Macaca fascicularis: one gene and its partners. The main gene of each other region encodes a partner of the protein of the gene in region 3 in a complex. Links are inferred from orthologs where the notes say so. Each region holds a gene or a part of one and is shown on either strand. Other genes may lie near its edges.

What was found. The genes of interacting proteins can lie anywhere in the genome.
Region 1: HERPUD1 (region 3) and UBE2J1 share a complex: the UniProt entries of both Homo sapiens proteins name them as parts of the HRD1 complex. The link is inferred for Macaca fascicularis from reciprocal best matches to the Homo sapiens genes HERPUD1 and UBE2J1.
Region 2: HERPUD1 (region 3) and OS9 share a complex: the UniProt entries of both Homo sapiens proteins name them as parts of the HRD1 complex. The link is inferred for Macaca fascicularis from reciprocal best matches to the Homo sapiens genes HERPUD1 and OS9.

What each region holds. Positions count from the first base shown.
Region 1 is NC_088378.1:86,036,711-86,040,924, forward strand, and holds the start of UBE2J1 (ubiquitin-conjugating enzyme E2 J1), read left to right. Parts: upstream 1-1,376; 5' UTR 1,377-1,674; coding exon 1,675-1,705; intron 1,706-4,214. UniProt on the Homo sapiens protein: Catalyzes the covalent attachment of ubiquitin to other proteins. Functions in the selective degradation of misfolded membrane proteins from the endoplasmic reticulum (ERAD) and is essential for cells to recover from ER stress.
Region 2 is NC_088385.1:64,510,572-64,514,646, reverse strand, and holds the start of OS9 (protein OS-9), read right to left. Parts: upstream 2,839-4,075; 5' UTR 2,822-2,838; coding exon 2,660-2,821; intron 2,234-2,659; coding exon 2,057-2,233; intron 881-2,056; coding exon 817-880; intron 696-816; coding exon 619-695; intron 389-618; coding exon 290-388; intron 1-289. UniProt on the Homo sapiens protein: Lectin component of the HRD1 complex, which functions in endoplasmic reticulum (ER) quality control and ER-associated degradation (ERAD).
Region 3 is NC_088394.1:53,039,739-53,043,299, reverse strand, and holds part of HERPUD1 (homocysteine-responsive endoplasmic reticulum-resident ubiquitin-like domain member 1 protein), read right to left. Parts: intron 2,824-3,561; coding exon 2,746-2,823; intron 2,658-2,745; coding exon 2,583-2,657; intron 1,357-2,582; coding exon 1,226-1,356; intron 1-1,225. UniProt on the Homo sapiens protein: Component of the endoplasmic reticulum quality control (ERQC) system also called ER-associated degradation (ERAD) involved in ubiquitin-dependent degradation of misfolded endoplasmic reticulum proteins.

The DNA of each region.
Region 1 (4,214 bases), on a different chromosome or scaffold from region 3:
TCAACACAATGAATGAATGAAACAGCATTGGAGTTTGGTTTTGTTTGCATGTCTCAGCCAATCAGATTATCAGTTTACTATACAGAAAACAACCTCAGGGAATGGTTTAAAAGATACCATCTAATTTTAGATACCCTTCACTTTTTTCCTCCCAATTTCACCAAGAAATTCAGATTTATATTAACAATAGAAAACAAATCAAATTTAAGAGTTTTATATCTTTATATAACAGAATAAAACTTGCCCAACCTGATTAACCCTTTCTATCCGCCCCACCTTCCCAATCCCTCCCTCCTTTCCTTTCCTAAGGTAGGTTCCTACTCCTTGAGACTTCTGAACTCAGTCCTCTCTCTCGATCCCACACATTGGACAATGAAGCAGGAAGTGTGTCCTTTGAAGTTTAACCTTTCATATTTGTATGCTTTCCCTCAAATTCAATGTAATTCCTTTTTTTTTTTTTTTTGACAGCTTTTACATCTAAACAAACCAAAAAACCCAAAACTCCTGCAATGCCTAAAACAGCGTCTTGCACCTAATACACTACCCAAGAAAAAAAACTATTATGAATATCCAACTCCAGCCAGAGCCGTGACTCACGCCTGTAATCCCAGCACTTTGGGAGGCCGAGGCGGGCGGATCACTTGAGTCCAGGAGTTCGAGACCAGCCGGGCCAACACGACGAAACCCTGTCTCTATCAAAAATACAAAAAATTAACCGGGCGTGATGGCACACACCTGCGGTCCCAGCCACGCTGGAGGCTGAGGTGGGAGGATCGCCTGGGCCCAGGAGGTAGAGGCTGCAGTGAGCCAAGATCGCGCCACTGCACCCCAGCCTGGGCGACAGAGCGGTGACACCGTCTCAAAAAAAAAAAAAAAAAAATTCCTATTCCATTCCCTTATCACTGGCTTTCCCCCTCCTCACTTAACTCCCGCCCCCCGCAACAGGGACTGGATCTAAAAACAAAGCCCTTCCCAGACCCCGCGGGACCGCGCGCGGGCAGCCGGATGCGGACAGCTTTGCAGCCGGAGCCCGGCGCCCTCTCTGAGCTCTCCAGGGCCCGGGGATCCCAGACTTCGCCTACAGCGGGTAGGGCCGGAGCCGCTTCGCGCCGCGCGGTTCCTCGGTGAAACCCGCCAGCGCCTGGGGACGGACCCCAGAGGGTCCGGCGGAAGGCCGGTTTCCGGGGGCCGGAACGAGAGGACTAGGACGCCGCTCGCTCCTGCAGCTCCCCAAGCCGGCTTCGCGGGGCCGGCGGCGGCTGGGTAGGGACCGACCGCCACGAAGCTACTGCCACGTCAGGGCAACTTCACAAATCCCGGACGAGGGCGGGTGACGCAAGCCGGGCGGCCGCGACGGGGCTGGGCCTGCGGCTACCGGAGGAGGCTGACCTCCAGCCCGGGCGCCGGGTTCAGCGACGCCCCGGCCGGCGCCGGTGCCTGCCAGGCACTCAGGGAGGCGGGGGCGCAGCGGAGGAGGCGGCGCCATCGCGAAGCCAGCGCCTCGCCAGCACTCAGCCTTGCCACCCGCCCGCAGTCCGGGCTGGACTGGGCGGCATTTGCCAAGGCTCCTCGGCCAGGCCCCGTCCGCCCGAGCCGCGCTGAGACCTGGGCAGCGGCCGCGTGGAGAGGAGGTGGCAGCTGCCCGGGAGGCCGGAGCCAGGCCAGCGACCCGCCATGGAGACCCGCTACAACCTGAAGAGTCCGGGTGAGCAGGGCTGGGGCCCCTGGGCTAGGAGTGCGGAGTGACCCTGGACCCCGGGGCGGTCGCCGCGGTCCCCTCACGTCTGGCGCCACTCGCGGCTCAGCTCCTGGTTTCGCGCTCTACGCGAGACCGCCGCCTGCCCGGGAAGTGCAGGCCGCAGGGCGGGGTGGCCGGGTGGACGCCCGCTGCCAATCCCCCGGCCGGCCAGCGTCCGCAGCACCCAGCCTCCCCCTTTTCTCGTCTTCGCCCGGTCCCGTAGAGCTGGGTCAGAAACTCATCCCTGAGAACAGGTGTAAAGGTGATGTGGGTGGGCGATAGTCAGCAACCCCCTCGCTGTACCTGCATCCTGAACACCGTCGTTAATTCCCTCCCCGTCGCTGTCAGTGGACTATTAGCCGGCTGATTTACTCACATTTGAGGAGTTAGTCGTTTAAACATCCTATTTGCAGCACTTGGGCGAATGCAATTACAGACATAAAGGAAGTGTTCTGTAACTAAACCAGTTAACTGTAGAGCTAAAGCAAAACAAAACAAAAACAAAACAACAACAAAAAAAAACACCTAGTTGAGCCCTGTTCTTGAGAGCTAACCTTGATTTTTGCCAGACTGGCTAATATGAAACATATCTGTCTTCAGTCGTAGGATTCCTTTCCTGCATTTAATGATCCTGCTTTATTTACACAAGCAGTCCCAGCAATACTAACCTTTACTTTCTGGTGCATTATAAAGATAAGCAACTAGCTTTCTCAGCTTAATGAAACAGGCTTGAAATAAATCATTGGATCCTCTAAATGGTATTTTTTCTATCTGTACCTTGATACATTTTGTCAGGGGGAAGAAACTCTACAGTTAACTCTGCATGATAAACTCTAGGGTATTAGTGATTTCACTAACTTTTGCGTTGCTTAACATTTCCTTCCAAAAAAAGCTGTTTCTCAGTAGGAATTAGCAAGACTAGCATCCTTATGGAAAGAGTTGACATTGTGAATCTTTGGGTTTTTTGTATGGTTTCAGAATATGCAAAAACCCCAGAAAAGCCTGAGGATATTGATTGGAGGGAGCTTTGTTAACCTGAGTGCTGTCAAGCTCAGAAATGTCCTTAGGTGACCAAGTGTGTAGAATTGGTCATAATATTTTAGGGGCCACTGACTCCTCAAAAAAATCTGATGAAGACCTGGCACGGTGGCACATGCCTGTAATCCCAGCACTTTGGGAGGCCTGAGCCCAGGAGGTGGAGAGCAGCCTGGCCAACATGGCGAAAGCCCGTCTCTACTAAAAACACAAAAATTAGCTGGGCATGGTGTTGGCGCACTTCTGTAGTTCCAGCCACTCGGGAGGCTGAGGCAGGAGGATGGCTTGACCCGTGGAGGCTGAGGTTGCAGTGAGCCAATATCGCGCCACTGCACTCCAGTGTGGGCAACAGAGCGAGACTCCATCTAAAAAAACAAAAACAAAAACAAAAAACAAAAAGAACCCCGGGGTGGGGAGGGAGGAAGAAAAGACCAAAGAGAAAGAGGGAAAGAAAAGCTTAATTTTTAAGGTAGATGGTAAAATGATTGAATTCTTTACATTGTGGTAGATTTAACTAGAACTGTTTGGGTAAAAATGTATGATGGCTTCCTGGTCACATGGTTCCTTAGGACAGCAGAGGTGCTCAGTGAAAGGTCCAGAGAATAATGCACATGTGAGTAGTAGTGCAGTTTGGAATGGAGAACTGGTGGAACCCAAGAGATTGTTGTCAGAAAACATCGCTCAATTTTGATAGGTTAGACTTAATACTATGATGATGTTTTTAAAATTCTTCAGAATTTTGTACATTTCCAAAGTATGTCAACTATTGTCAGCTGGTTGAGCTTTGGTTGACATGCTTCTAACTGTGTCATAAATTGCTTCCTTTTTTTGGTTTCATTTCCTCAAAGATAGTGTTGCGGTTCTAAAAAAAAAAACAGTGCTTCTTAAAACTCTATTTTTGTTAATGTGTGAATTATTTGGAGTTCATGGAGAAGTTGAATTAGGTGAGATATGGGACTTACTGAAAATGCTGGGAGGCATCGTGAAAATACTTCCTTCCTTTGCTTTATTCTCAGTCCTGTGTTATTTTTAGAGTAATGCCTGTGTGAAGGGGAGCAACTGAAAACTCCAATTTCCTGCGTACGGCAGGGTGCACACACACGTAAAACACCAACCAACCAGACAAACAAAAAACAACCACACAACGGGAGAGACATAATCTTTTACTCTTTATCTGATGTGGGATTGTCTTTGATGTATGAGTGGAAAGATGAAGTGAAGACAATACAGATAGTTGGTTAAGGGCCAGTGTAGTAGCATGTGGATATAGTAAATTTGTTCATTTCATAGGTGGGGAAACTTTTTCCTTTATGGTGTTTTTTGGAATGGACTTGTGATTGTGGGTAGAGCTGTTGTGTAGGATCACCTCAAAGCCTCTGACTAACCTGTCAGTAGTTGTCTATGGATCAATTTACTTGACCCATGTTTGGGTCCGCTCTGG
Region 2 (4,075 bases), on a different chromosome or scaffold from region 3:
AGCCTCCTGAGTAGCTGGGACTACAGGCACCCGCTACTACACCCAGCTAATTTTTGTATTTTTAGAAGAGATGGGGTTTCACCATATTGGTCAGGCTGGTCTTGAACTCCTGACCTCAGGCGATCTGCCCCCCTCGGCCTCCCAAAGTGCTGGTGGCATGAGCCACCATGCCCTGCTGGAAATATGTTTTAAATCTCGGAGGGAGCCCCCTGACTATAAGATGCAATTCTCTTCCCTTAGAATCTGAACTGTCCCTATGGGAGTGTCAACTTCCTCTCTCAAGACTCACCCGAACCTCGGCCTCTCGGGGCCTCCCATTGAGGTCGCACTTGGACCCATTGCCATAGGTCTGGCTGTGGTAGCGTTTCAGACGATGCTGCTTGGAGGCCTGGAGAAGACATGAGGCAGGAGTGGGGGAGATGAGAAAGACAGCAAAGAGGAAGGATGGCACTGCATCCTCACAGAGACAAAAGAATGGCCTGTGCCCCCCAGGAAGCTTTGTCCTAATGGCCACCAAGCCCCAAGAAACAGATCAGCTAATCTTGACCCTCCCCTTCTTGTCAGGGCTTTCAGCCGGTGGCCAGAACCCCTTCTCCCCGAATCCCACACTCTTGCCACCTTGGCTGTTTCATCATCCCAGTCGAAGGCCGATTGGTAGTAGCCAAGATAGAGGACTTCACCTTTGATCTCTGAATCTGCAAGAGAAGCCACAGAGAAGCACTGTTACCCCTAAGAAGAGTAGGAGGGAACTGGGGAGGCAGGTTACCTTCAACGATACGATGCTGAGGGCTTAAGGAAAACATAGGAGGCAGTTACCTTCCATGTGGTATTGCTGGATGTGGCGTCCATAACAGAATTCATATGTCCACCAGTCCTTTGTCTGACAATTAAAAATTAAACAATCAGGGGGATGGGGTGCAGACGTCTTTTATTGGAATCAGAGTCTCCTGGCTCCAAGACACATAGCCTCTCATCTACTTGCACACTCAATTCTCTTCCCTTCACTTCCACTCTCAATTCTCCAGACTTTCAGTAAGGAGGGAGGGCTGCTTTCCTTCTGTGACGTAGAGAGTTATCTCTAAAGTCTATTTTCCACTTGTGGTCTTTCCATTCCTCCCTCTTAAAAGATTTTTTAAATCCTCATTTCCCCTCCATAAAGATAAGAAATTATGGTATCCCTGAAGCAATCATATTAGGGAAACATAGAAGAACCCAAAATTAAATATTAATTGAACTTCTTGGACATTCCTTGCACTGTTCTGGCCACTGGGAATACAACTATGAACAAGATAAATTATTTGACCTCATGGAGTTTACATTCTAATGCTGGGATTCAGACCGAAAATAAACAAACTGATTCAGTTAATATGATTTCAGATCATGAAAAGTGCTACGACGAAAATAAAATTGGATACTGGAGTGGAGTGATAGGGCAGGGGGTGACTTTAGCAGGTAGGCTTAAGAAAGTACTCCTCCTACCCGACGCAGACCCTCAGTCTTGCGTTAGCCCTTTTCTGTGATCTTCTTTTTTGTTTTTTGTTTTTTGGTTTTTTTTGAGACAGAGTTTCACTCTGTCGCCCAGGCTGGAGTGCAGTGGCCCGATCTCAGCTCACTGCAAGCTCCGCCTCCCGGGTTCACGCCATTCTCCTGCCTCAGCCTCCCGAGTAGCTGGGATTACAGGCGCCCGCCACCACGCCCAGCTAATTTTTTTTTTTTTTTGTATTTTTAGTAGAGACGGGGTTTCACCGTGGTCTCGATCTCCTGACCTCGTGATCCGCCCGCCTTGGCTTCCCAAAGTGCTGGGATTACAGGCGTGAGCCACCGCACCCGGCCTTTTCTGAGATCTTCTATCCTAACCTGCTCCTACATTCAGCGAAGTGTCATCAATGGTTACAGGATTCTTTGCTTCTTTCTTGTCCGTGTAATCTGTCTACTCCTCCAATGGTCTTCTTAACCACTACAGGTCCCCTAGATCCTGCCTCATTCACTGGACTACAGTTCTCGGATGAACTGCTAGTTCCCAAGCCCTCATTCTATCTAACCCAGTCCCTTTCACCTTCAGCAAGCAGGGAGCATCTCTCATTGGGCTCAACAACTCAGGGATCCCAGGCCCTTGGTAAGCAGGTGTTTCCTCCTCCCTTTCACGCTGGAAGTGAATAGCTCCAGCTGGCAGGCGACACTCATAGCGCTGTTTGTACTTAGAGGAGACAATCACCACGTCCGAAGATTGGCTCTGGGAAAGAAGGGAGGGTCGGGGGGCAAGGAAGCAAAGAAAGGCTGGGATCAGGGAAAACAACGAAATCCCTCTTCAGACCCTGGGGAAGAGCTCAGTCGAAGACAGAATAAGCCACGAGCTCTCCAGCTGTATTTAGTGGGTGAGGCGAGAGGGCGCTCCCATTTCTCCACGGGAACGGAGTCCCGGTGTTTCGATAGTAAACTGAGACCTGAACGTTGACAGCGGGAAGCCCCACCTCTCCCAATTCCTGGCCCCTAGAGAATGGGTCTCAGTCTGCGATCCCCAGGGATCACCGTAAAAGCAATACCTACTCTTCCCGATTTCCCGTAGGCTCCAGCCCCAGACTCGGGAGCTGCCCTTCTTCCTCTATCTCTTACTCGCTTCCTCTTCTGCCCGGACCCTCGCCCCTTATACGCCTCTCACCTGCCCTCCCATGACAGGCAACGGCAGGATCTCGATCCCATAACGCATCTCACTCAGCTCCTCCAGGTTCAGGCTCCCAACACCGCCAGTCAGACTTGCGGGTAACAGGAGTCCCAGAAGCAGCAGTCCCAACACACTGGACAGCACCGTTTCCGCCGCCATCTTTCGTTCCCCCGCTTATCCAGAGAATCTGTTTCCGCCCTAAGCCTGGCAGCGGCCTCAACACGCCCATCGGCGCCACATGATTTTATTGGCTATATGTTCTATCCCTCCCACGTACCCTATTCCTATTTGTAAACGTAGCTTCAAGGCCCCGGGGAGGTGGATCACGACAATTAGAAAAATCAATTGCGGTCTGTGATTGGTCAGAGACCAGCCAATCATCGACAAGATCAAACCCCTCTCGCCTACCCCAATTTCAGAGGCGTGGTCTATGCGCTTGGCCCTTTTATGTTTGCCCTCTGTCTTTGCCTAAATGTCATGCGCATCTCATTGCTTTTTCAGATGTTTGTACCTGCCCACCGCTGGGCGGAGTATTGAGGCAGATAGGTAACTTGCGCAGTGCCCGTGAAAGTTATTCAATGCTTGTTGCAAAACAAATAATTATTATACAGACGCTTACCTCTTTTCATATATACATATTGCTTCGGGGCAATAAGAAAATTTGTGTCAAAATCTTCCTATACGATCCTGCAGTTGACCTCCAAAAAAACTATCCTAGAGAAATAATGCGGGCAGTCAGACGCGGTGGCACGCACCTGTGGTATCAGCTACTCCGGAAGCTGAGGCAGGAGGATCTCCCGAGCCCAGGAGTTCAAGTGCAGCCTGCACAACACAGCGAAACCGGGTCTCGAATAAGTGAGTACATACATACATACATACATACATACATACATACATACAGGGGCTTCCAGTTAAAGGTGGAATTATGTATTACTCTCCAGGCCGTAAGAAAGGGAAAGGAGACAACAACAGCAACATTTTGGAAGCTGGAAATCGAACCGAAGAATGGTAACTGGTTTAGCAAACTTGAGAATATTGATTACGAAACAAAGGTAAACAAGAGCCTGATTATACCTTTGGAAAATCCTCTCTGGGGAATCTCACCAGCTCCAAAGAAAAATCCCAAAGATACCCTCATCAGAATTCTCTTAATGATGTAGATAATTATAATGAATTCCACATGTAAGACTTTGGCCTAGGTGCCCCAGCCCTCATTTCACTTTCCAATCAGCGTTTTAGTGTTCTTACTCTTCAAAATAAATAGCCAGAGATCATTAGACGTTTAAGGAAGGACTTTAATATACAAGTAAGAAACAAAAACAAACAAGAAGGAAAAAGCAAATGAGAGGAAACATAAATTGCAACGGAGTGGGGAAAAAAAAAAACCACCAAAAATAAAACATTTAAAAATTG
Region 3 (3,561 bases):
TATTTGTTAAAGGAAATCAAGTTTAACTATGGTGAGATTCAGAAAGTCAAATACGAGCCTCAATTCTCAAGTTAGAAATAGTTGAATCAGAATAAGGGAAGAAGTTTTAAGTTTTTCTAACCAATAATTTTCTATCCAATAATTATCCAATTTATATGCTGACAATCTTTTAACTAAATTCCATACACAGAGTATTTCTAAAATAGTATTCCAATACAAGTAAGCCTTGGTATGATACTGTTTTTGATCATTTAAGAAAATTACAGTGCATGGAAATGAAATGATAGAGTGCTTTTAAGATTTTTGTTAGATCTGATAATGGCATTCTAGATATACAGGATAACTAAAAGGTTTTCATAGTTATATACTCAAGTATATAGGGATGAAATAACATAACTGGGGATTACTTTTAAATACTTTAAAAAAAAAGGGGAAAAGGTAATAGATGAGGTATGGTAAAACTCTGATTGTTATTTATTAGGCAGGCCTGGATGATGGTGTGGGGATTAATTATCTAGTCCCCACTGTTGTTTATATTTGAAAGTTCCATTAAGGGAAAAAAAAAAAAAGAAAAACTCACTCCTGAAACACCTGGCTTTATAAAATATTGCATATAAAAACTACTAGGAAAAGGGGGATGGGGAATTGGAGAGTTATAGAATTTCAACTTGTAGTTAATGAATTTTTCCCAAAAAACAAGGTATTCCAAGAGCTATAAAAATCCAAAGAACACAGCATTTAGTTTTGACTTTTGCTCTAAAGAAAAGCTTTAATGGTTATAAAAAATGGCCAACTTTCCTAGTACCCCCAAGTCTCTGGAATAATACTTCTTAAACAGTCTCTCCCTTGTTGTCACCCATTGTTACAATAAAGCACAAAGCCACTCAGCAAAGCAGCTGCACAATGCTTACAACAGCTTTTCTCCTGCAGCAGCAATTTTCTAGCATGACGGCAACCAAGTGGTCAGCACAATGGAAGGATAAAACACTTACATTTTTTTTTCAATATATGCATTGCCTACTTTTTAAATTTGTATATACTAAAAGGCTGTGTATTAAGAAAAGTTAAATATATAAGACATCTTTAAAGCGAAGCTATTTGTAAAGCAAAATTCTGTAGGTTTAAAAGTTCTGATTATATACGTGTAAACACACCTTACTCTTCAATGGATGCAAATGAGGCACATTCACGTTGCATAAGCCGAGATCTTTATTATAACACTCACCTTGAGATGTTCTCCCATTCAGGGGAAGAAAGGTTCCGAAGAACTTCCCTTTGCCTTAAACCATCACTTGAGGAATCCTCAGGATACTGTCCCCGATTAGAACCAGCGGGCTGCTCTGTGGATTCAGCCACCTAAATAAGTGTAACATGAACACAGAACAAGGGAGCTGACGCAACTGTCTGAAATCAAGCGAAAGGAATTATTTTGCTGTCAAGGGCTTAATGTCTCCTACCCCCCACCTCTGAACGTGACAAAATTAAATAGAAGCAACATTATGTAAAAAAGTCTGACATTTATTACACACAATTTTCAATACACAGATGCTAACATATTCATTTTTTTCCCTACAGTAACGATGCTACACTTTCATTAAAATTTCATTAAAATCTTCCAATGAAGTTGTCATTGGTGAGAAAGCTTCTTGATAATGGTGCTAAACTTACTCATTGCAGAAATCTGACCAACAAGATTTATAAATAGAACCCGGCCCAAACTTTCTAAAATAGTATTCTCATACAAGTAAGCCTTGGTATGATACTGTTTTTGATCATTTTTTAAAAATTACAATGCAGGGAAATGAAATGGTAAAGTGCTTTTAAGATTTTTGTTAGAATTGATAATGGCAAAATAGGGAATTTCCTATGCTCTGTTCAGATGTTCTAGGAAATATAATGCAAATTTAGAGTGCATCACTACACCAGAATACTAACACCATATATGTGAATAAACATTGTGAAATGAAAAATAAATGTTTTTGTCTGTCACATAGAAGTCTTTAGAGCCAGGTCCAGTCGCACATGCCTGTAGTCCCAGCTACTCAGGAGGCTGAGGTAGGAGGATCGCTTGCCTCAGGAGGTTGAGAAAAGCCTGGGCCACATAGCAAGACCATATTTAAAAAAAAAAAAAATTCTTTAAAGATCACTTGATAAAGACTCTGATCTTTTCCTATCCAACTAATCATAATGAAAATTTCCAGAGGAAATATATTCACTTTTGTACTCTTTATAAAAATTAATGGCTCCTTTGAAAAAACTTGCTGTGTGCTAAATTCAATAAAAATCCAATCAGTGTTAGTTCAGTAATCTCGATACACAGTAACCATAGATCAAATCATATCCCAGAAGATAGTGCAATATGTAACTCCACTTTTCCACTACAGCAGTAATGGAACAATCTGCTACTATGAACCTATCACTTGTGTTGATAATACAGTTTCTAATTCCTAGGAAAGAAACAAAATATTACTTGGTAATAACACCATACAGTCTCTCAATAAAAGTTTTATCCAACTTCTTTTATTACTCCCCTGAAAGTCTGAATGATACAAATTGTTATCATCATGTAGAAGGAGACACACCTTGGCACTGACTTCTGGCATTTTTGAAGGACTCTTCACATTGCACACCAGATGCAAAACATGCCGTTTTTCCTGCTAAAAGTAATAAGAAGGCACTTAAGGACCTAAACCTAACCTGGTGAGTGCTTAAAAACATTCAGAGGTTAATGTGTAAGTGAGGTACCTTTGGAAGCAAGTCCCTGAGACATTGGTGATCCAACAGCAGCTTCCCGGAATAAATTAACCTCTGGTCCTCTGGACACTGATCATGGAAAGAAAAACACAGGTCAGCATTTCACCCCCAAAAGTTCCTAAACACAGAAGAAACTGTTTTATACAAGTAATTTGATTATGTGTGTTTCCCCCCAGCATCACGGGAAAATACCTGCTCAAAAACCCCACATACAAAACTTCTGTTTAGAAAGTGTCTTTAACTGGTCTCTAACATGCAAATAAACACAGAATGGCGAATTATCGGCTGGGCACAGTGGCTCATGCCTATAATTCAAGCACTGTGGGAGGCCAAGGCGGGTGGATCACCTGAGGTCAGGAGTTCAAGACCAGCCTGGCCAACATGGTGAAACCCCATCTCTACTAAAAATGCAAAATTAGCTGGGTGTGGTGGCTTGTGACTGTAACCCAAGCTACTCGGGAGGCTGAGGCAGGGGAATCACTTGAACCCGGGAGACAGAGGTTGCTGTGAGCCAAGATCACGCCACTGCACTCCGGCCTGGGCAACAGAGTGAGACCCTATCTCAAAAAAAAAAAAAAAAAAAAAAAAAGGCAAATTATCTCCAGTCCAAACCTATGGCAATGTACTTCTTAACTCCCAGGTAAACTGATTCCTGTTACTAAAAGCAACAAACAGCAAACAGGGCACCTACAACCAAATCGAGTTCGGTTTCAGAGAAAACTCAGAGTACTCCCAAGGCCAGCCTTAACCAAATCCACCTAGCAGTGCTCCAAAATAATGTGAAGCTATCCTAAACTGAAGCCTTCA